Linked DNA regions of Lonchura striata. The protein of the gene in region 1 interacts with the protein of each later gene in a pairwise test. Links are inferred from orthologs where the notes say so. Each region holds a gene or a part of one and is shown on either strand. Other genes may lie near its edges.

The links.
Region 2: the proteins of L3MBTL2 (region 1) and BEND7 interact in binary tests that used the Homo sapiens proteins (3 or more experiments, as listed by UniProt). The two-hybrid records come from large-scale screens. The link is inferred for Lonchura striata from reciprocal best matches to the Homo sapiens genes L3MBTL2 and BEND7.
Region 3: the proteins of L3MBTL2 (region 1) and TBC1D9B interact in binary tests that used the Homo sapiens proteins (3 or more experiments, as listed by UniProt). The two-hybrid records come from large-scale screens. The link is inferred for Lonchura striata from reciprocal best matches to the Homo sapiens genes L3MBTL2 and TBC1D9B.

The regions. Positions count from the first base shown.
Region 1 is NC_134607.1:25,003,770-25,011,293, reverse strand, and holds the start of L3MBTL2 (lethal(3)malignant brain tumor-like protein 2), read right to left. Parts: upstream 3,089-7,524; 5' UTR 3,033-3,088; coding exon 3,012-3,032; intron 1,603-3,011; coding exon 1,335-1,602; intron 1,132-1,334; coding exon 998-1,131; intron 323-997; coding exon 199-322; intron 1-198. UniProt on the Homo sapiens protein: Putative Polycomb group (PcG) protein. PcG proteins maintain the transcriptionally repressive state of genes, probably via a modification of chromatin, rendering it heritably changed in its expressibility.
Region 2 is NC_134607.1:66,508,300-66,516,384, reverse strand, and holds the start of BEND7 (BEN domain-containing protein 7), read right to left. Parts: upstream 3,033-8,085; 5' UTR 2,789-3,032; coding exon 2,728-2,788; intron 1-2,727.
Region 3 is NC_134617.1:6,674,234-6,681,418, reverse strand, and holds the start of TBC1D9B (TBC1 domain family member 9B), read right to left. Parts: upstream 3,037-7,185; 5' UTR 2,984-3,036; coding exon 2,866-2,983; intron 696-2,865; coding exon 585-695; intron 330-584; coding exon 211-329; intron 1-210. UniProt on the Homo sapiens protein: May act as a GTPase-activating protein for Rab family protein(s).

The DNA.
Region 1 (7,524 bases):
GGCTACAATAGTGGATGGGCAGGAAGAGGAAAAAAGACATGCCCTGTGTTCTGCCAGCTTGTGTCAGAGCAATCCACACACATCGCACAAAGAAGTGTACCAGAGAGGAGAAGGAGGACTTCAAAGTTTATATCCCTCAAAGTCTCCCCATTCTTTGACTTCAGAAGCTGCACCTCCTCACACCTCATTTACACTCACCATCCTGACCTGTCAGTGTCCCATCTGCCAGCTGTCCTGTGCCCTGTGAATGGAGGAAGGCCCCGATCTTAGCTGACCAGGATGCCTTGTGCAGAACTTTAGCTTTCTTCGTTGGTGGCTTCCCCTATAAAAGAAGAATGATTAGAAACATTAATGGCACAGGAGACTAAGCCACTCTCTGGAACTGGGCATACATCTCTTCCTTGGGACAATTTTCAGTCTACTACAGTATTTATTAACACTCACAGGAACAAGAAACAGCAGGTAAAATACATGTGTGTCCTTTCTCAGCTCTTAGGGAACACCACCTTTAAGCTGTCATGCCTTCTCTGGAGACTTCAGGAAGGAAGAATAAGCCACTGGGACTGTCAGTCTGATATTCAATTAAAGAGCAACCCTACATAAAGGCAGATCCTGCTCCATCCCCAGGAAATCTCACAGAATTATAGATTCTCTCTGAAGAGCTGGAAGTATGCCTTCCTAAAGTTCAAGAGCATGACTTTACTCCTTAGCTGACCTATATTCCTCAAGATTAGAAATTCCACCAATGCATGACCACTGCAACTAGAGCCACTGCCTCTAGTCTTGACCAGCAGGTCTACTGTTGCATTCTCTCTGCTACAGCTGTCTATTCCTTGGCTTAAGAAATTATCCCACATACGTTTCAGGAGTCTCCTGGATTACCTACAGCCTGCCATGCTACTTTCTGTAGGTATAGGAGTGGTTGAAGTTCCCCAGCATGACATAAGCCTACAACCATGATGGAGCCAGAGAGCCAGCTGGAACAGTTTTAACGTACCTGCAGTCTGGCCAGGATGCTGGCCTTTTTGGAATTTGAGGAGTAGCTTCTGGAGCAGGAGACGCTGCAGAAACGTTTAGTCTTGGAGAAGAAAGCCTCCCTGGTGCCCACAATCCCACACATTTCGCACACAGCTGCAAGAAGGAAGGCCAAAAACGTGAGGATTTTGCAGAGTCAATGCACCACGGTGACAGAGCTGAGACCAGCTAACCATGATTATACAGTGCAGATCCCCCACATAGCCCAATAAATGCAGTCTGAATCCAAAGTTGCTCCCAAAGCATCCCCACACACCTTTCACTGCCCCTGAACATACTTCAGGCAGCACAGGCAGTACCTGGCTCGGAGCCATTGTCTTCTGTGAGCCGGCCTGTGGATGGCTGGTGCATCGGAGATGTTGAAAGCTCTCCAGCTTCCCGGTCTGCCACCTCATCATCGCTAGATTCCTCCAGACAGGAGCTGCTGTCACTGCCCATGCTGCTGTTGTAGCACGTGAGGCTGTCATAACCCCCAAAGATGTCCAATTCATCATCCTCCTCATCAGCATCACCTTCCTCCTCCACCCGCTCCAAAGATGAAGTTTTGTGGCCAAAGGCAGACACCATCTAGAAAAAGAGCCAATTTACTTTAAAATCAACATTTTACACCCCACTGCACAATAAACCTGCCTTTGCTGCTGGAGGAGGCCCTCTTGGGCCAGGGAGTGGCCTCAAGGCAGGCAAGGAATCCACATAACAACCCCAAAGGCGGGACTCTGAACTGCCTTCCCCCAAACAGATCCCTTTACTGGTATTCAACATGCTGCATTCTGCTTCCCAAGAGAAAAGTGCTGTTGCTAGATAAAAAGAATCTTGAGGAACATAGAAAATACAGGGCAAAGCACTGCCTTGCTGATGAAGACAGATGAGACTGCGTCCTTCCCGGCAATGTTCCTCCCAACATAGTTGCACAGCATAGCAGCACAGAGACCATCACAATAAAGCCAGCACAGACTTCCACAATGGAGCACAGGCTGCACGTTCCTGCCACCACAGCTCACAAGACCAGCACAGCCTGGAAGTCAGCAGGACCAACTCAGTCCTGGAGACAGTTTATGTCCTCTGAAAACTACAGAGTCCACAGCTGACCTCGGTTCAGAAACTACACCAGCAGGATAGCAGAACGTTTGTATAGGTTTTTGTCTAAACCCAGATGCCTCCACAGCTAAACATCTTCACTGGCTCTTCGCAGTTGCTGTTACAGCAGGAGAGCTGCAAGGCAAAGACTGAAGAAAGAGCACAGAAAAACAGTGTGTCTCAGACTAGAAGAATCTTGAACCAGGCTCCAAATAAGCATAAAAGAAACTAGGAAAATATGTTAGCAACTCATGAAAGAGCAGCAAAAACAGCATCAGCACAGGAAGTGATGGATCAGAAAGGCAGATTCAAACAGCTACATGAGGCAGGAGGATACCATTGTTCCTCCAAGTGGGCAACAACAAAAGATCAGCAGAAAGCCTATCACCTTCCAGTGCTAAATTCCCTCTGACCCCTGGCTCTAGCTGTCATTATAGACACGTGGTCAGGAAAATCAGACTTCACTCACTGCTGTCTCCCCGCATCCTCCCTGGCTTTCACACAACACAGATCCAAGGTTCCCAGGTTATTCCCTGAACAAAGAGTTCCTGTCCTACGGATCCAGGCCCTCAGATAGCATTCCTGATGTCTTGAAAGGCCTGAACTCTAAAAAAACAAATATTTTCATCGCCTTCTAGTCCCTGTGTGGGTGCATTTTACACCAGCTCGTAGGACGTGAGCACCATTGCATCGTTACTCTTCCACAACAGGCGAGTGAAACTTGCGGATATTGTTACAAGTCCCCAGGGCTGCCAAGCAAAGGCAGCATCACCCGGAGCCTCCTCGGCAAGCTGAGGGGGACGCGGGGGCCCATCGCGTCGGGATCAGAAGGACCCGCCGCCGTCCCCAGGAGCAACCCAGCCGGGGCCCCAGAGGAGCCCCCGCCGCGTCCCGCTCACCTCCCTCCGGTCCCGCTCCATGGCCCCGCCACGCCAGCCCGCCTCACGCGCCTGGAGAGCGTCCCCCCTGAGCTGCGCGTCCGATTGGCGAGAACAGCGGAAAGCACAGCAAATCAGCGGGGAGTTTGTTCCCGCCGCTCTGCCCGCGGGTCATGACGGGAGCTGTAGTTCTTTTCCCGCAGCTATGGCGCCTCGCGGCGGTCCCACCCAGGAACGGGCTGGGCTCTGCTGCCGTCTCCCCGGCTCCGTTCTTGCTTGTGGTTCGGTATTAGCCCACTCAGTCCCAGAATGGCTTGGATAGGACCGTACCCTAGAGATCATCCAATTCGACCCCCCTGCGGAGGGCAGGGTCATTTTTCACTAGAACAGGTTACCCAGAGCCCAATCCAACCTGGCCTTGAGCACTCCCAGGGATGGGACATCCATAGTTTCTCTGTGCAGCCTGTGCCAGTGTCTCACCACCCTCACAGTAAAGAATTTCTTCCTGTATCTAATCTCAATCTGCCCTCCTTCAGTTTAAAGCCACTAGTCCTTGTTCTGTCATTATCTGCTCATATAAAAAGTCCATCTTCCTCTTTTTTATTACCCCCCTCTAGGTACTTTAAGGCTGCAGCGAGGTCTCTCCAGAGCCTTTTCTTCTCCAGGCTGAACAACCCCAGCTCTATCAGCCTGTCAAGAAACTTATGTAAAGGTAAGCCCCTGGAGGCAGTTTCCATTTTCCACCCTCTTATTTTGTTATCATTGTCACTGTGTTGACGTTGTAGGAGGAAAAAAAAAAAAAAAAAAAAAAAAAAAAAAAAAAAAAAAGGGCTGTATTGAGCATTCCTAGTGTGTATGGACTTTGTAGTGAGTGGCTGAACAAATAATGTATGAAGCACAACTGCACAGTCTTAGCTGCAGGTGGGAGTAAAGCAGCATGGAAAAGGTTCATTCCAAAGGCTCTTCCAGACAATCCAAAAGCTCTAACATGGGGCTACAGCCTGTAGATATAAACACAAAGAGATGTCACTATCCATATGAAACACGCTGAGAATCTGGGATAGTGGTCACAGCCTAATTTACAGAGGGAAATGTCAGGGAGCTGGCAAAGCCACTCTGCAAATCAATCAGCAAATTTCCTTAGCACCAGGGATCCTCCACATTCAGGTTTTCCAAGCAGTCCTCCACCAATGTTAAAAATAGAAAATTGCTGTAAAATAGTATAGTTAATAATGAAATAAATCATAATGACGGTTATTCACTTGTAAATACTGCTAGACATTGCATGGCATTGCAGACAGCAAAGCTGTTTCCAGAAAAGACACAGTACAAAATTAAAGGCTCATTAAGTCTTTCTACTGCAATAATCTTTCATGGAACACGTTGTGAGCTATAACTGGTGTGCACCACCTGCGCCCTTCCCAGAGTGGAACAAGCAGGTCACACCCTTAGGTCACACTCAGGCTGGCTCAAGGCTTCTTGAAGGCTTCAGTAGAAATGAGTCCTGTGTTCACACAGAACAAGCTTTAAAAGGGAAACCCCACACCACAGCTCTTCATTTTTCATTGCAGTTCTAAACAATCCTTTTGAATAAATAACAGTATTTAAATAAATTCATTTTAATGTGAATCAAGTTCAATTTGATTGAGGAATACTTATATTCTTTTCAATAATAAAAACTCTGTTATGTAACAACAATCAAAACTAACTCCTTTCTTTAGAGAGAGAACAGCACTGGCAATATCAGGTAACTAAAACCCAACTCTTAGATTACACTTCACTTTTCCCATCTCCTTCCCTACTGCTGTTCCGGGCTTGGTCTGTGTTTTAACATAATCTGCAATAAAAATTTTAGAAAGATCAGTATCAAAGGGCTGCTGTCAGGTGCAATGACAGAAGGAGCCCTGGCTGCAATGGACAGGGAGCCAGGCTGCTTCCTCAGGCGCTCAGATCCAAGGTGTGCAGCTTTTGTACTTCAGCATATACTCTGCCCCTCATTACCACAACTTCTTTCAGGAGCCTTGTCTCACTGGCTCTTTGTGCTTGTCTACTGCGACTGTCCTCTCACCCATGCTCTGGGATGCAGAGCTCATGTTTCAGACCCCCAGTCTTCATAAATTCATCTGCTACTTCTCCAGAGCCTCCTTTTTCAGTTTTCTCCTCTGTTATTGCAAAGAGCTCATGAGAATCCTGTGCTCCAGGGGCTTTTTTTCACTTCCAACACTAAGTGCCAGCCATTCCACTACAGGCCTTCCAAATTCTTGTGTGTAGGCTCCTCCTAGCTGACACTGTGAAAAACCAAAATACTTTGAAGGGTTTAATTTTTGTCATGAGCACTGGGAAGGGAACCATTTTGAAGAAAAAGTATTCATAGACACGTAAGCTTTGGCCATACATTCATAGTACTGTCTTTGAAAAAGGAAAATAGGGTAGTGAGCTGGGAAAACCAAAAAGCAAACAGAAGGAATAATATAAGGAAACGTATTCTGCTTAACCTTTGGCAGACTAATTTTACCATGGTAACTGAAATGGAGAGGCATGTCCTGCACTATGTATGACAACAGCCTACTTGCGGGTGGGAGATTTGAGCAGTTGCTGTTTTCTAGATCTCTCTTGTGGGCCGAGGAGCTTGCAGAAAACCCTCGTCAGATCAAAATGCTACAGTAATGTTCTTCTGCATTTGCAGCCACTTGTCACAAGGTTACACTATAGGATTGACATAGTAATTTGTATAGTGACCAAATAATCCAACCCCAGACCCAACAGGCAACCCAGTTAAGGGCACAAATACTAAACTAGCCTGTCCTTCCTTGCTATTTTACTATCACATTAAATCTGTCAATATATGTCAACACAACTCTACATACAAATACTAATGAAACAGTAAATAATTTTTGTCCAAATTAAAAAAACTCAAACAAAAAAATAAGGAAACAAAAAACCAAAACAAAATCCCAGAAAGCAACTACAGCCAGTTCCAAGGCTATCCTGACAAGGAGAGGGAAGAGTTAACTGCCTAGGAGATCTATCTTGGTTTGAAGCGCTTATCCCATCCCAGACCCCCAAGAAATCTGGCTTTTGAGAGCTGAGCTGTGCTGCCTCTTGATCCCTCTACAAGCTTTTTAAGGAAGACATGGGGCGACATTGTACTGGGAGCTCATTTCAGTGCCACACTGGTGTGGGACAGTACAGACAATGAAAAGCAGAAGTGAAGAGGAAAATAAAATGAAAGACTTTTTGCTTTTCAGGGCAGCAGAAGCTCTGCACTTTCAGCCAGAGGATCAGGATTGGCAAAGAGCTTTCTTCTGGTAATGACCTTTCAGTTCCTGCTATTGCCCTGGGGACTGCAGGGACATGAGGAGAAGAAAAAACATGTGTTTGTGGTTGCCTCCCATATAACTCTGTGCTCCCAAGATACACTAGAGCCTGCCACCAGCCAGCACACCTGGGGAAAAAACCACAGTCTGAGCTGTGCCAACTTCACCTGCAAGGCTGACAGCAGCTGAGTAGCTCTCCAGCCATGATGCAAACACAGATGCTGCTGCAACACCTGAGGATGGAACGTGTTGTGCTTTTACACTTTCAGGGGCCAGGTTATGCTGTGTCTCAGGCTGGGATCTATGGCACAAAATCTGCTTTGACAAGCTGAGGGAAAAAATGGCTCCTTGGGCAAACTGGCAGATACCCCAGTATTGTAGGAAGGCAGTAAAAATAAATATTCCCCAGACAGAGCACCCTCTGGCTGTCTTCAAATAAAAGCTCATTTTTAGGGTAGTAAGCCTCATCACATACTTAGGCAGAATTGGTCATTAGGAGCAGACTCTTCTGATTGGTGCTGTCTTTCACTACAGGATCTGTTCCAGATTGTCCAGAGAGGATAGGCTGGAGTCATTGAGTTTGGCTGAAACTGGAAGCAGCAAAAAGACCATCTTGGAAACAGGAGGTGGAGTTTCTTGCAGGGAAATTGTGTATCATATACTGGAAAAATGAAACAAAAGCTGGAATGGCTGTCACTGTCACATCATCCACCTCAGCCTTGTCATGGTGCTGCCACTACTGGTAAGAGGCCACCAGCTCTGCTTTATGTGAGACTTTGTCAGGCTTTGCCTGGGCTTGTCTTGGCCTGCCAGGAGCTGCCATAGCTCGTTTTGCTGTTACAACAGTTGTCTAATGACCAGGTGACTGCTACCAAAATCATCTTCGGTTTTGTGCCAAATAGTTTGGGCTACCCAGTACAAGAGAGACATGGGTATAGTGAATCCAGCAAATGGGCAGCACAGTGATGAGATTAGAGCCTCCGTCAGATGGAGAGAGGCTGAGGGAGCTGGGATATTGGAAGGTCAAACATTAGAAAGTTTACATCACTGAACTACACATTATTTGAGTACAACCATTAGCATCGTTGTAACTGGACAATCAACATCTGACTAGATTGCTAGAACTTTGGGTGTGAATTCTTTTTGGTAGTCCAAGAGTCTAATAAATAGGAGTGAAACAACCTAACTTGGACACAACTGAATGGCAAGAGATACAG
Region 2 (8,085 bases), about 42 Mb from region 1:
CACAAGCAGCACACCTGCACCTCTGACCAAACAGGCACAGCACTGGAAAAGTCTCCTGGAAGTCACTTTTTTGTTACGTGCTGTTTATTTGTACAGCACGACTGTCAGAAAAGGCACAAGAGAAGGAACAACCCAGTATGTAAACTAAAATCAAGCCTAACCCAGCAATTCTATAGAATGAGAAGGGCCTGGAAAGAAAATGAGGGGAAAACAACTACACCACAGAACTGGAGAGGTCAGCGATGAGGTGCTACACAAAGGATTCCTCTGCTTCCCGAGCACGCCCAGCCAATGAAATGGGTAAAGGTGAAGTTTGAGATATGACATCGAGGAAGTAAAAGCTTCTTTTATGAGACTAAACTGGCAGGATTTATGCTCCCTTCCATGATCACTAGCTGTCCTGTTGAGCAGAGGGTGTGATGAAGTGGCTTGGTGGGCACCTGATGGCCAGCCAGTCAGGGTCTACCTGCCACACTCTGCAACTCTGCACCTTCATCCTCTCAAGGACATTCCAGATCTGTGGAAGCAAGTATGTGGAAACTAGGACTTAAAGACTTACAGACTCATGGTCTTTAGATATACAGATTACACAGTTTCTTCTCCAGCACTTCCCTATATATCTAGCTGGTCACAATATTCCTCTGGTCTGCAGCTGCTGCCTTAAAGTCACCACATTTCACCCCAGAGGTGACTGCATTTTAGCACAGGAATTGATTTTCTTTTGATTTGATCATTATTGATCATTGTGATAAGGTGCTCAAAGTTATTTTTGGGACAGAATAAGCATGGTATGTATCGGCACACATCAATAGCAGAGTGTCTTACTAACCAACTCATACAGCATAGCCTTTTCTGTTTGCTTTCTTTTCTGTGTCTTGGATGTCACAGTCCAGGCACTGGGAAACTGTATCAATTTCACAACAGTAAACACTAAACTGTGACATTACAGAATAACTCCTGCAAGAGGCAAAGGCCAATTACAAGAGACAATTATTTATACATAATTATCTTTCTAGTCAACTGTGATAGAAAACAGTATGAGAGTGCAAACTCATATACAAAACCTGATTTTTATCTCCTCCATTCTCAAAGTAAAAAGACACTATTTTCTCTCTAGCATATGTTTTTAGTGTAGCTTTTTATTTTACTTTCTACATCCAAAAAGAGACCACACATAAAATATTATTAATAATGTACCATCATAACTGGATTTACCTATTAAAATAAGGTTAAATAGACTGCCTCATACACCGAGGCATATCTAAACCTGAACGAAATGGCAACTGAGATTGGCAAAACAGTCACCTATTTCTGGCAAATACTCTTTTTATAGGCCCATTAGGATAGAAAGAAAAAAAAGCAAAATTTCAGTTTTGTTTCACCACCTCCATGCTCCAGCGCAGTCATGCACTAACTCTGCCTCCAAGTTGGGAGCGTGTTCAGTACCAAAACCCCACAAACCAAACCTGTTCTCTGTAAAATTACACCCTTGATAAGTTTGCTTAATGGATACAGACCTCCAATGCATTTCAGACACGTCTGGCAAGTCCCTGCCCCTCTAGCTTTAACAGGGACCATGTGTGATGTCCCAGACCCCCCTACCACAATACAGCAGTCATTATTTACTATTCCCACCAAGTGAGTTTATTTCCATATTTGAATTTCTTCACTTCAAACGTAATTTTACAGAGCACTCCTCAGACAGCAAGTCTTGACACTCGTGTGTGTGTGTCCCCCTTTTCACCAGTGTGACATTAAACCCAAGCAGTCACCTGCCTTGAACTTGGCATGCAGGACACACACAGCGTTTCATGGAGATATTCCCGTCCAATACTTGGGAACACAAAAGGAAAAACGATCTCGAATCAAATCCATCAGGACAAAAACATCTCATCGGCCGGAGAAGGGATAAATCCCCAAGCAAAATAAATCCCTAGGGCTGGGAAGTCCACCTGTGAAAATGCCTACCAGCGGCTGTATCTTTTCCCCCCTTTAATTAAAGAAAAAAACAAGAAGACTGAACACAGAGCTGTGCTTCTTGTCCGACATGAATTAAAATATTTCTCCCTTCACGATCCCTTTTAAAAGATCCTCTTTTCCAAAAGCAAACACACCCCGAGCGAACAAGTTACACGGCAGCGGCTCTCCCCTGCCCACGTACAATTAATTACCTGCGTGGATTTTTAATAAAGCGATCTCGATTCAGCTTTTCTTGAAATACACGGATGTACACAGCCGAGGAGAGGAAAAAAACCACCCCAAATACAATAAACCCACAAGAGTTGAATACCAAGAAGGTCTGTCGCTGCTCAAGTGTCATTATTTTTTGCTCTCTTCCCGTTTTTACCTTTTCTCCCCCCCGCCCAAGCAGGATTCACCACGAAACGCGATCCAACTTTATTTTGTGCAAGGTTCTCTGCTTGAAAAAAAATAACACGTCCACCTGAGGTGGTGGTGGTTTTGCAACAACACGTAACACATATGCAAAAATAATTAAAAAAAAAAAAAGAGGAAACGGGGGTGAAAGAAATAAAATTAAAAAAAAAAAAATAAATAGGCGTGCAATGGTTTCGGGGAGTTGAGGCAGAGGATTGCGGAGTTCAATAACAGAGCCGGGAGGGAGCGGCGGCCCGGGGGCGCCGGCGTTTCATAACGCCCCGCTCCCCCCGGGGCAAAAGTCGGGGCTGCCCCCGGCCAGCGAACAAAGCCCGGCCGCCCGCGCCTTACCTTCGTTGACCAGTTTAAAGCTTTGGGATTTCCTGCTCCTCTTCCTCTGGGCGAACTCCATGGTGTGGGCAGGAAGGAGCGGGGCGGACACAGGACCGAGCTCCGTCCCTCCGATCAGCAATACACGCGGGGGTTGGGAGAGACGGCGGCTCCGGCGGCGAATAAAGGGATCCGGGACAAGTTGGCTCCGGTCTCCCCCTCGCTCCCGCCCCGAACTTTGAGGAAAAGCGGGGTGCGGCGGGGGGAGCCCCGCGGGGGCGATGCCGCCGCCTTCCCCCCCGCCGGCTGCGCGGCCGCGGCCCGGCGGCGAAGGGCGGCCCGCAATGGCTTCGCCGCCGGCGCCGGGACCCCGGTGCCACCTGCTGGGGGAAGGAAGGCGGCGGTTCCGCCGGCCGGGAGCCGCCACCGCCACCCCGGGGCCGGCCCGCCGCCACTCGGCCCCGCCGCGGGTTGAGGGCGAGGGGCTGAGGGGCAGCGCCATTTTGTGTCCCCCGCCCGCCGCCCGCGCGCGGCTCCGGCGCTGCCCGCCCGGCGCTGCCCGCGGCTCCGCTCGGGGCCGAGCCGGGGCAGCTCCTCGCGCTCGGCGGGACCGGGACTGGAGCTGGCGTGCGGAAGTGGGTTAACCTGAGGAACTGATGGCAACACCTGTTTGTTGCCGTGTTTTACAGGGATCATCGCAGCGATGTGTCCGCTGGTGTCGTGGACCGAGGCCTGGAGAAGAGCGGCGAGCCGCCGGCTGGGATGAGCTCTGCCAAACCTGGATCCCTCAGCAGGAGGAAGAGAGGCTCGGCTCTCCAGAGCAGCGAGATTTAGGGCGTCTGGCAGCCCTCCCGACGGTCACCGTGAGGTCACTGCAGCCATACGGCTGGCCCAAACACAGCTGAAATTAGTGCTTTGATTTATTTACCACTTGATGCCTTCAGCCACACTTCCAGTTCGCTCACTGTGCGAAATTCACTGAGGGTGGAGTGATTTTTTTTTTTTTTTTTTTTTTTTTTTTTTACAGCCGAGAGTGCTTTTGCCTGTTGCCTGTAGAGAAAGAACTCAGGCGTTTACAGTTATGACTACTGATAACTGCAAACACAGCTCCGATCATCATATTGTGTTTTACATGTAGTCAGACTGTGTTGTGACAAGAAGACTATGTGATACTTGCATACGCCTACTTGAACAGATGCAAAATGCAGATCTTGCCTTGGTCTCTTCAGAGCACCCAGGAGAATCCCGTTAGCTCCAGTAATATTGACCGACCCTATCACTAGGTATAATGACATAAAATGAGCAGGAGGGAAGAAAATTGAATACTAGCAGTAGTGATTTGTATCCTAACTGTGTGCATGCACACAGTCAGACCTGAATTCTTCGGTGCAAGGTGCCATCCAGACACTACACAGAGGATATACCTAGTTCTGAAAAGAAAAATTGGGAAATAGCCTTAATGGTGAAGCAATATCAGAAAATATGCCTAATGGTAAAATTTATTATATGCTGGAAAATTAAATTCACTAGGGAGGTTATGGAAACCTCACAGATTGGGTAGGGGTGTAATTTTCTATTAAATTGCTAAGTGGAAAATCCCAGAGGCAATCAATATGCTACTTTTGGAATTTTCCTAAACTTCTCTGTAAGACTTTATGAAAGGAAACTGGGCTAGCGTACTATTTAAAATCCTGCATTACATATTTTTGGGAGGATGCTGAAGCAGCAAAGGTAGATGGATGTCATATACTGTTTGCTGGATTTTGTGGGTCCAATTAATCTCTGGTACAGTGCAATGAAGCTGGGTCTGAAATGCAGCAGCAGTGTGCTTAAAATTTTCATACAAAAACAGTATTTTCACTTTTTTTTTCTCCCCTCCCCAGACGGTCTGCTGATTCCTGTCTGCTAACTAACTTTATTTACAGGACTTATATGCTGAAACTGTTACGTTTGACGTTTGACTCTCATCCTTCCTGGGACAATAGAAGAATTTTTATAAAGCATAAGGCCCTCATTTACAGTTTAGCTCACATGATGAGCTTTATCCTGCATTTGCCAAAGGAATGTGCTACAAACATCTTTTCTGTTTTACTCTGTTACTCAATTTTGTGAAACATTTTGGGGTATAATTTATGAAAATGTGATGGCAGTGTTTTATAAGCTGCTCTCTTACTGGTTTTAGTTCTTCCTTCCCTGTGCTGATAATTTGCTTAAAGGGACACTCATGGTTTTAAATGACATTTCAGTCTGGGCAATGCAGTTTCTAGTAATGTTTTCCAAGAGTTGGCACATCCTCTTTTCCACTGATATTTCTCATTTTCCTTTATGTGAGTTAGATCTATCCTTTTCATGCAGAATAAAGCTGATCCTGCAAGCTGGCCTAATTGTGGTCGCTCAGATGAATAAATCTTGCAGCTTTCATTTCTGAAAGTATGAGCCAGTGTGGATACTGCAGCTCCAGTCTTGCCATCTCATCTGCATAAAAGTGAATTAGAAACTAGGACAAGGTGACTTTAGGTCAAAGTCTTGTAGTTATCCATACAACACGTAGGAGGATCCGGTAGCTGGAAGTAGCTTTGTCCTACACTGCTGGTGCTTCTCAGCAGGGACTTAGAAAAAATGACACAAACTCAAAGGCTCCCATGTACAGGGAGCTGTGAGTCTGTCACTGGGCATTTTGGGGTGGGCATCCTAAAATTGGACTGGGATCATCTGCTCGTTTGTCACAGGCCACCATTGCATTATTCCAGCTGGAGAAATGTAGAGATGAAAGTCCTCTTTATCCCATTAGAATGGCTGCCTTGTGTCACCCTAGATAGTCACTGGCTGCATTGCTGTGGCAGCCAAGTGACTTAGGATAAAGTGCACACTGGCTCTGGGGAGCAGACAGCTTTTAATTTCATCTTTTATTTCAGTTTCTGTCTCAATATCATGCTATTATTACATATTAAGAACCCATAGGTCTTTTTGGTGAAAATATGAAAAAACTGAGCATTTTGTATCTATTAATGAATAGATACAAAGTTTTCAAAGTGTTTCCTCAAACCATTAACCGAGTAATGTGTTTTTCAAAATGCCTTAAATTGGCCAGCTAAATAAGGGCTTTGTCTTGCAACATGTCCCAAGTCAGTATGATCATCCCTGATTATTTCTTAGTTAACATTTTATTATGCTTCAAGTTACTTTCAAAATATCCCCTCCCCATTCTAACTGATGGTAATTTTTCCAACAATTTTCTGGTGTGTAGAAATACTTTTTCATTTCAGACACGAGCTAACTGATTAAATATAATTAATCTAGTAATATTTCGGTGTTAACAGCAGCAGTCCTCTTCACACAGGATGTCCCAGACTTTTTGTTTCCAGGTGTGCCCAGTTCATGATAATATTTTATTATTCAGAAGTAGGATGGTATAGGACAAAGATGACTAAAGAGTCCTAGAGCTGAGGAGAATTAAATAAGTGCACTAAGCTGAACCACTTCAGATTTTCAGTTGGAAAAATTATAGTGGAGAAAGTCTCATAAACTCAGTGATTCGATCTGAGGCTTAAAGTCTAATGTCAAGGAATTCATGTGAGGCCATGTGAAGTGGGAAGAGGCTGCTGACTGTCATATTAATAGCACCATGATTACCACTCATCTTGGAGCCTGACGAGATTCCGTGTGGTATTAGAAGCAGGAGAAGGGTGAAGAGGTAAATTGGAGACCAGGAGCTGTGCAGGTGACAGGTTAATAGGTGAGCTATTTTGGTTAGTTATGTGTAATGAATGGCACTGAGGATTTTATAAACTGTAGTAGTGTTTCCAGTGGTGGTTTTGAGGTCATATGACATACGTAGGCAGTACTTAGCCCCCAAGCTGACAATAGGCCACATTGTGCTCTGCTGTCTCACTACAAACCTTCCCTTTCAGCAGGCTCTCAGGCTGGCATATCCAAGGACTGGGTCATTAGAGAGAAAGATGTCTGGATGTCCTGAAGAATTCTGAAGTCAGGAGTGCAGTTTAACTTCTTTTCTAATCCTCCTTAATTTTTTCGTGACCATTTGAGTCACAGTACTTGACATTTCATGTCTCTGTCCTTACTCTCTTTTTCTTTTGGAACACAGTTGTGAAATGCCTTCTTGTCCATCCTGCTGCTTGTTAATCTTTCTCATATAAATTTTAAAGAAAAAAATTACAGGACAGACCAATGTTTTCATCTGTTTGCTAGCTCAAGGAGACCAAAACATTCCAGAACTGTTTCAACAATAAGGAATATAACTGAATCTATGTACAAAGAGTTCTTTGTGTGTGCAGTCATAAACCTTCTGAATATTTCCATATCAGAATGCAAACCTTCTAATCATTTCCATATCAGAATGCAAACCCCCTTTTGACTATAAGGTTGACTATAAGGTTTTCCCCTGCTCTGTGAATTTATGTACAGCTTGGAGTAAGATTGCAAGAGGAAGGCCACTGCATTCTAAGAGTCAGTGCTTGATGGTCATCCACTCTGATCCAATACTTGTGGCATAATGGATATTAAGTCATCCCTAAGACAAACTAGTGTTTGGATTTGAATTCGGGGAATGGAGAGGAGACCAAAGTGTCTAAGTAACAGCTGTAGTTGAAGGATGATGAAGAAAAGGTCTCAACAATGCTCTTTTTTATGAAAGAGGATACGGAAGAATAAAAGAAATCTGTCCATATTCATGGATATCTTCTGCTTCTCTGCAACATGGAGAAACCATGGGCTGAACTAACTTTGGCCTTACAACCCAAGTGCTTCAAGGGAGCTGAGGACGATGTAGGGCTTGTTATTTTGCCTAGAAATTTGAACTTTTCTGCTATAAAGAGTACTAATGCTTAGAAATTTTAGTCTGGATGTGTCTTTGCATTACTACCACCTCTGCCTAAGAGAAATATAAACCAGGCTGGTGTCCTCAGAAAGGGCATGTTTGAGCTTTGGGTCATCCCAGAGTCAATGTCAACGATGCCAGCCCAAGCACAGCAGTCAGCAGTCCCAGTTCTGATGGATGCTGCAGGCACAAATTGCAGCAAGCTCAGTTCAGGGTCCAGCAGCCCAGTGAGTCCCCTGCTAGGGAGAGTTCCAAGAGGTTTATGCTGCTAATCATTCCTCCATTTTTGTGTCAGTTTGCTTCAGCCACAGCAGCTGAAGGCAGATGTAAGAGTGCAGTGATGCAATCGCTGGAGCTACAGATGGAAAACTAATGCAGCATCAGCTGCAGGAACAAAAGCATTTAACACCATCAGACAGCTCCTTGAGGCTGCGGGGTGAAGCCCTGGCAGCAGCCATGCTCCTCTAAGTCCTGACTGAGCCTGATGTGGGGATATTGTGCTGTGCTCCCCAGCCCAGACTCTCGCCATTTCCAGCTTGCCA
Region 3 (7,185 bases), on another chromosome or scaffold:
TCCTTGGGATCCACTGCTCTTAACCCTTCTCCTTCAAATACATTTGTTCAGTATTTGCTCTGACTGTGACTTGATGTTGACAATGCTGGATGCATTCTACAATACTTTCATACCTACATATGACTGAAAAGGATAAAAAATTCTTACAACCATCTATCTCCCTGTTCTTTCTCAGAATCTGGAAGTCCTTCAGGGAAACATGTCACTTACATGAATCTTGCCCTTGACAAAGGTGGTGATATCTTCTTCATTGTCAAAGATGGACAGAGTCTGCAGTAAGTTATTCTCCAGCCATTCCCAGTGCTTTGTGATCTCTTTACGAGATGATCCTAATTGAAGGGAGAAAGATGATGACAAGAGCAAAGAGAAAATATTAGAACAAGGTTTTTTATTCCTTTAAGTTTCTTAATTACGGTTTAAACTCCACTGAGTTTTGTCATTTCTGCAATCTTCCACTACACCATAGGAAGCTCTTAAGAAGTGTCCTGAGCAGCCAAAGGATACTCTTATGTGGGCTAACTGGTCATCTGAACCAAAAAGACAAGAGAATAACTCACATCCAATCCCCAACAAGAGTCACATACCACAGGCCACTGCCCAGTACACTTGAGAGTCCTGAGTCTGGTGCAAAATCCGGTATGGGGCAACTCTGGCACTGGAATCCAAAACCACGTCTAGAGTTCCCACAAGGAGACCTAGGAAACGAAGAGTCAGAAATTACAGCAGTGTAATACCAAAACAAAGAACTGGGTTAAGCAAAAACACAGGATGAACACTGCAGAAAACGCTGATGTTCACAGCCTGTGAACAGTTGTGATGAAGAGCTGTGGCATTTGGTTCAGAAAAAAGAGATACACATCCAGTCACTGGAGGTAAATTCCCTAAAAACCAACTGCAGCCTGTCCCACTGGCAATGGACGAAGTTTAGATGGAAATTAATTGCCTACTAAGCTTCATTACAATCCCACGCCTTCATAGAAGTATTTCCTAATGAAAGTGAAATGTGTTTTCCTCTGTGGGGTTTTTGCTTCTAATAGTGATTTTTAAGCCTACCATGCTAAAAGACACAAGAGTCATCAACGCTGTATTTTTCAGAATCACCAATGCCAAAAGTAGGTAACTTGTCCAAATGGAATCAGGTAGATCTAGAAAAACGGGTGCTCACAGGTTTCAAGGATGTTCCCAGAAGTACTTTGATTAAAAAAAATATGTCAGCGACTCAAAACTTGGTAATACAGAAGTCAAAATATTTTTATATGATGTCAAATAAGAGACACTTCCAGAGTAAATGTTGATGAACCAGACTTTGCAAGGCAAATAAATTTACTTCAAAGTCTTTATTTCAATTAGATAAAACAGATATAGAAGATGATGATTTGCTTTGTTATTATAGACAATGCATTATGAGCATCTTTAATGCAAATTAACTTTGCAACGCACTCATGATTAAAAGTTTTCTTGTATTAGAACTTGGAGAGGGAGCATGGCTGCCCCTTGGGCTCTGACATTGTAGGGGGTCCAGTTTCAATTCCCAGCTCTCATGGTTTGGGTACTCATCCATATCTCACTCCTTATCAAGAAGAAACATGCCACTTCCTCTCCCTTATCTCTCCTGCCTACCTATGTAGCAATTAACAAATTAAGAATATACCACTGATTGTCCTTGCAGTGAAACATCACCCACAGCAAGCCCATGTGACAAATGTAAGCGAAACATGTACATAACCAGCACAGCAGGATCTGTTTGGCCTCTGGGTTTCTTGTGAGTTTTAGGCAGGATATGGATTAAAAGTTAATTCTGAATCCATCCTATGACAATACTGAATGTGTCAAATATTGACAAGCAGACTGGTAACGAGATATTTAATAACTTGAGCCTGACAGCAACTCAAAAGCTTTCCAGCTGAGCTGAACATCCCACTCTAACTCTTGAGATGTCACTGTGCAGCTGCACAGCTCCTTAAGGACATGAGGCTTTTAACCTGAAGAAGCTCTGAAGATGACTCTCACTGAGCCACACTACCTCAAAAAGTAAACACAACTCAAAGCTTCAACCCATCGGGAACACACCAGTTTAAATGTTACTAGAATAGCACCAGGCGTCGTTTCTTTTTGGAAAAAACTAGGAAATTGTAGAACACAAGTATAGGCCTATATGCAAAACTGCACAAATTGGGTGACATCAATCAGAACAGTTCAAATTAATTTTGTACACTGTGAAAAGATGAAATATGCTAATGATGTTTATCAGCTGCACCACTCCTGTAATTAGTTTGTGTAAAAGGGTTAATACGTGACAGTTGCTACGTGTAATCGACAAGAGTAAAATTCACATCTTTGTAGTTCACATAATTGAAAGCATTCTGCACATAAATGGGGTTTTTAAAAGTGAGGGGATTTGCTGTAGTTAACACTGTGCTTGGGTGAAAGTCATGTTATTTTAGCAGTTTATGCCACAAACACGGCTGTCCCCCACACTCAGCGGTATTTTCCACTGGGCTGCACCCACACAGCTTCACCCCCGGCCCATGCACAGCACAACTTCCATACCGCTACTAATTATAAACCACGGCTTACTGTCATCCTCTGCATCTTGCAGAGGCACACAGACGTACAAAATATGCAAATAAACCACCTTAATAATTCAAAGCAACGCGAGCAGGGCTGAGAAGCCATTTTTGACAAGAGAAGAGGACGGTTCCAGCCACCCCACCAGCTGTGTCCTCCCCGGGCCTGACGCCGACAGCCCGGCCGGGGGCTCCGGGGTGCACACAGCGAGGAGCCGGCGGGCCGCGCCTCTCCCCCGCCCGGCCCTCCCAGCCCCGCGCCGGGCCGGAGCCTCCCCGCGGCCCCGCCGCGCCTCACCCGTCAGGCCGCCCCCTTTGCCGTGTCCCCGCCGGCGCTGGAGCAGGAAGAAGGGGTTGGCGCGCTCGGTGACCCACAGCGCGCCGGCCAGCAGCACCTCCTCGGGGCCCAGCCACATGGCGGCGGGGCTGCGGAGCGGAGCGGAGCGGAGCGGGGCCGGCCCGGCCGGGGCGGGCGCGGCGCGGGGGAGCGGCCGGGCCGGGTCACGGGGCCCGCGCCGCGCCCGCCGCCGCCGCGCCCCCTGGCGGCGCGGCCCCCTCACTGCCAACGCAGCGCGGGGTCGCGGGTTCGAGCCCCGCGTCCGGACGGCGGTGGGCGGCCGGGGTCACCGCCGCGCTCTGCAGAGCTCCTCCGCCTCCCGGCCGCACACTGTGGCATTGAAAAGACCTGACTTGAACGGCCTGAGGTTGTGTCGGGAAGGGGGAGGAGGGTGTTTAGGTTGGATATTAGAAAAACATCCACCGCAGGGGGTGGTCGAGCACTAGAACATCAGAGACATGTCCAGCACTCCTGGTCAGTCTGGCGATGCTTCCATCTCCCCTCTGGGAATATGGGAATTATTTTGCCCCTTTTGCTGTGAAGAACATGCTTTCCCAGCATCCCAGCCTCATGAATTCAGTGTGGGGGTCCTGGCATCCCCCTCCTGTCAGCTGGTTCATTTCAGTCCTTGCTTTGCAGCGCTGGAGCCCACTCAAAGCTTGTGGTCCAGTTCAAGGATGATCTTTGCAGCACACAGGACAGTGGGAGATGCAATTCCCTCTCATCCCTTGATAATAACTAAATTATTATGCCAATAATTTAGTGAACCACTATTCTTATTTCAATAACCCTTAGAGAGCCTCCAGGCAAACTTTGGAAGTGTTACAACAGCAGAAAACACTGACATCTACCATCTCTGTGCTTACTGCCCAGCTCCCAGGAAGGCAGGAATGCCATGGTTTTTTTAGGCTTTAAATCCTTTAACCCTGGATGATCCATCTTTGTTAGTGCAGTGCCCTAATTCCAGCTGGAGCCCTTGTACACTACTCTAATATAAATATATATTAGCTGGCTCAGCCTGCAGGGCTGTGCCTTCACCTCAATGGCATGGCTGTTTCTGGGGAGCAGCAGGACCGTTTCTGAAGGCTGGGTGTCCGGTGGGAAGGGTTTTGAGCACTGGGAGAAGATGCTGAAGGATCCTTCCCTGCCTAACTACTGATGTTCTTGCTCACTCTGTGCCATCTTTAAGGTGTCAAAAGCTGTGAGAAGGTGGATTAGTGTCTCCGGCATATTCATAAGCCAAAAGAAAAATTTACATCAGAGTGGGAAAAATCCTCTCTGAAAATGGATCTATTGATGATGTTGTTCCACACTATCCTCTAAGACAGATCTATAAGAAATGCTGGAGAGACTGGAGTCACTGGATGATGCTTTTATTCTCCTATATTTTCAGACACCAAACTCACAAACTCCGTATTTTTAAACTGCTTTTTATTGAAATGTAGTACATTAGCAAACCCTAACTAGTCGGTATACACTATGAACATACTGGCATATACCACGTAACTACAATACAGTGTTATACTTACATCAAAACATGTCAACAAGTTCTGCTGCTGGCAAACCACGCTTCCACAGGGGCTGGAAAGCTCTGGCTGTCGGGAGGGCACTGTGTATCCCTGTGTCCCCGCAGTGTCCCCAGACCCCTGGCAGCTGCTGGCGTGTTCAGGTTACCTGGTCACACCGGTGTGACCCACCTGGCAGCAGGCCAGTTCAAGCACACTTTTCATTTTAGACGCACGCAAATTGGGGTTTTTTTTGTTGTTTGCTGCAGTCTCCTGTGCCCAAAGGCCGGGGGTCCCCTCTCTGCTGAGATAAAATGAAGCTGTTTTGGTGGAGTCAGTGCATAGTTAGCCATGGCCTTGAGCAGGTGGTCCTGGACAGGCACGGTCATCCAGAGAAGCTTTTAGTATTTAACATCTACTTGCAAACTGCAGCAGGGCTGATGGGACAAGCACAAGAGCGATGCAATCACTCCTTTTTCTCCAAATGGTTATTCCCCATTATAGGAGTAGTACAACAGACCTTACCAGTGCTGGCAGTTAAGCTTAGACATACAGGGTGGGGACAGTCTGCCTGCTGATGTGGTGGCACAGGGAAGGCCTCTCGTTCATGTAGCACCTTCCAGCACAAGCAGAAAGCAACAGGCTGGGACCTCATGAACCCGCACCAGGAGCTTTGCTTTGACAGCCCCAAACACTCTATTCAACATTCCTGATTTAACAGCAGCAAAGAACAAGTTTACTTTCACGCCCAGGCTTTCCTGTGCTGGAGCATGGGAGGGTTGCTGAGCTGTTTTCTGTATGATCCTCCCTCCCAGAGCAGCCCAGTCTGTGGGGAGGCTGCAGGCAGCTACAGCTCCTACTGCCCAAGACAGTGTGAGGGAGTTACAGACACAGGCACGGGGGAGCCACAGCAAATCTGATGATCTATGCCTTAACACAGCCTAGCAGAACTGCTCTGCTGGGAATTAATGGCTCTTGTCCCCCTCGAGGGGTTTGGGCAGCTGAAGAACAAGTCGGAGTCAAGCAAAGTCAAGCCCCGGAGTATGTGAGAAGCAGATAAAAAAAAAAAAAAAAAAAAAGAGGCAAATGGCACATAAATGCACACAGCTGAGCTCAGGGAAAAGAATAAAAACCTCTGGCTCCTGCGGGGCTTCTGGATACAAGTGGAGAAAGGAATAGCCCAGCAGGAGTGAGGGAGCCTTCGCATACATGTCCATCTGATTTCTGGGCTGCAACCCCCCAGTCCCAGCTGTATGACACTAGCTAATGTTACACCTTAGCATTGCATTGAAATAATTCTAAGCAGCTTCAGCTTTCAATTAAACACTATGTAGTTCTTATTTGTAGAATATTAATACTTAATTATTAACTCCTTAGGAAAGGGACTATTTTTGGGTAACAGTTTGTACCACAGGGCCCCCAGGCCCAGAGACCCTGGACATTATTGCAGTAAGAAAGACAAAATATTCAGATGTTATTGCACAACGTACACATCCATTTCTGTTCACGTGAGCATCTCCATGAGGCTAATGGGCAGAAGAGCAAAAGGATGCTCCATTCAGGGATCCAGAGAATGAGCATCCCACAACAGCCCAGATCCCCAGATCCCTGCTTTGGCTGAGCACAGCCCACCAGGAACCTCTGCACTCTGACGGACCATGACTGGTTTAGAGTGATGCATCCCCTTGGAGGGGCTGATGGCACAGTGAGGTGATGGCACAGTGATGAAGAAGATGCTGGAGAACAGGTGGACAGCAGTGCCTGCACAACAGGGACCTTCACCCAGCTCTCCAGAGGAGGAAGAAGCCAGTAGTAACTGATGGAGTGGAAAGGTTGAGATTAGAATCAAGAGTGTCTGGGAATGCTGAAGGCTTTTAAAAAGACTAGGTTAATGAGAGGATCAATCAACTGACAAATAACAAGGGGTCAATTAGTGGTGCTTTGCAAAGGTTCTGTGAGCAGATTTCATCCCCCCAAAAGCACTTTGCAAGCACCAGGTAAATTTGACACACTCTTGTGAATTTGGGGTTTTTGGTCAACATCTCAGGACATCACTGGTTAGGGGTTACAGAGCATCATGGCTCTGTCTCAGGAGCAAAATCCACCTGGAGTCCTGCTCTTGTCACTGCATCCCACAAGGAACGGGTAGGGAGCACAGCTTTTTCTCTTAATTATTTCAAAGACAAGGGAAAAAAAGTAGAAATGAACACCAGCATACTGAAGTACTGTCTATCTCTCCCCTGATTTCCCCTCAGTCTGTTTAGTTGGAACATCTTTCCCTCTCTCATTCCTTCCTCTGCTCACCAGTTTCCACCAAGTGTGCCAGAGCTGAGGCTGCCCTGCAGCGCAGCAAGTCTAGCAGGGAAATGAAAAAGTGAAGATATCTTTAAATATAACAACACATATGCAAGCTTTCATGGCACATCACACACTTTTCTGCACCGCTCAGGCTGGAAAATTAGGTCAAGTGTAGCTGGGTAACACAGGGTGAAAAAGAGCAAAAGCTTTACTTGGGAATTTGAAGGTGTTTCCTGAGGTCCCTGCCCTGAGCTCTGCTGTCCTTCTCTCCCCACCCTGCAGGGCTGGCAGCAGCCCTGTGGCTCTTGCCTTTGCCCCACTGTGCCTTGGCTTCTGAGCTGCTGTGCTATTTCCTGTGCTGTAAAAAACAAATGGCTATTAGCTAAGCAAATTAACAAGTATTTTTTAATAATTAAGTCAACTCACCAGTAATCAGGCTGCAGAGCTGCCTTAACTTCAGCTCAACCCTGGTGCCTTC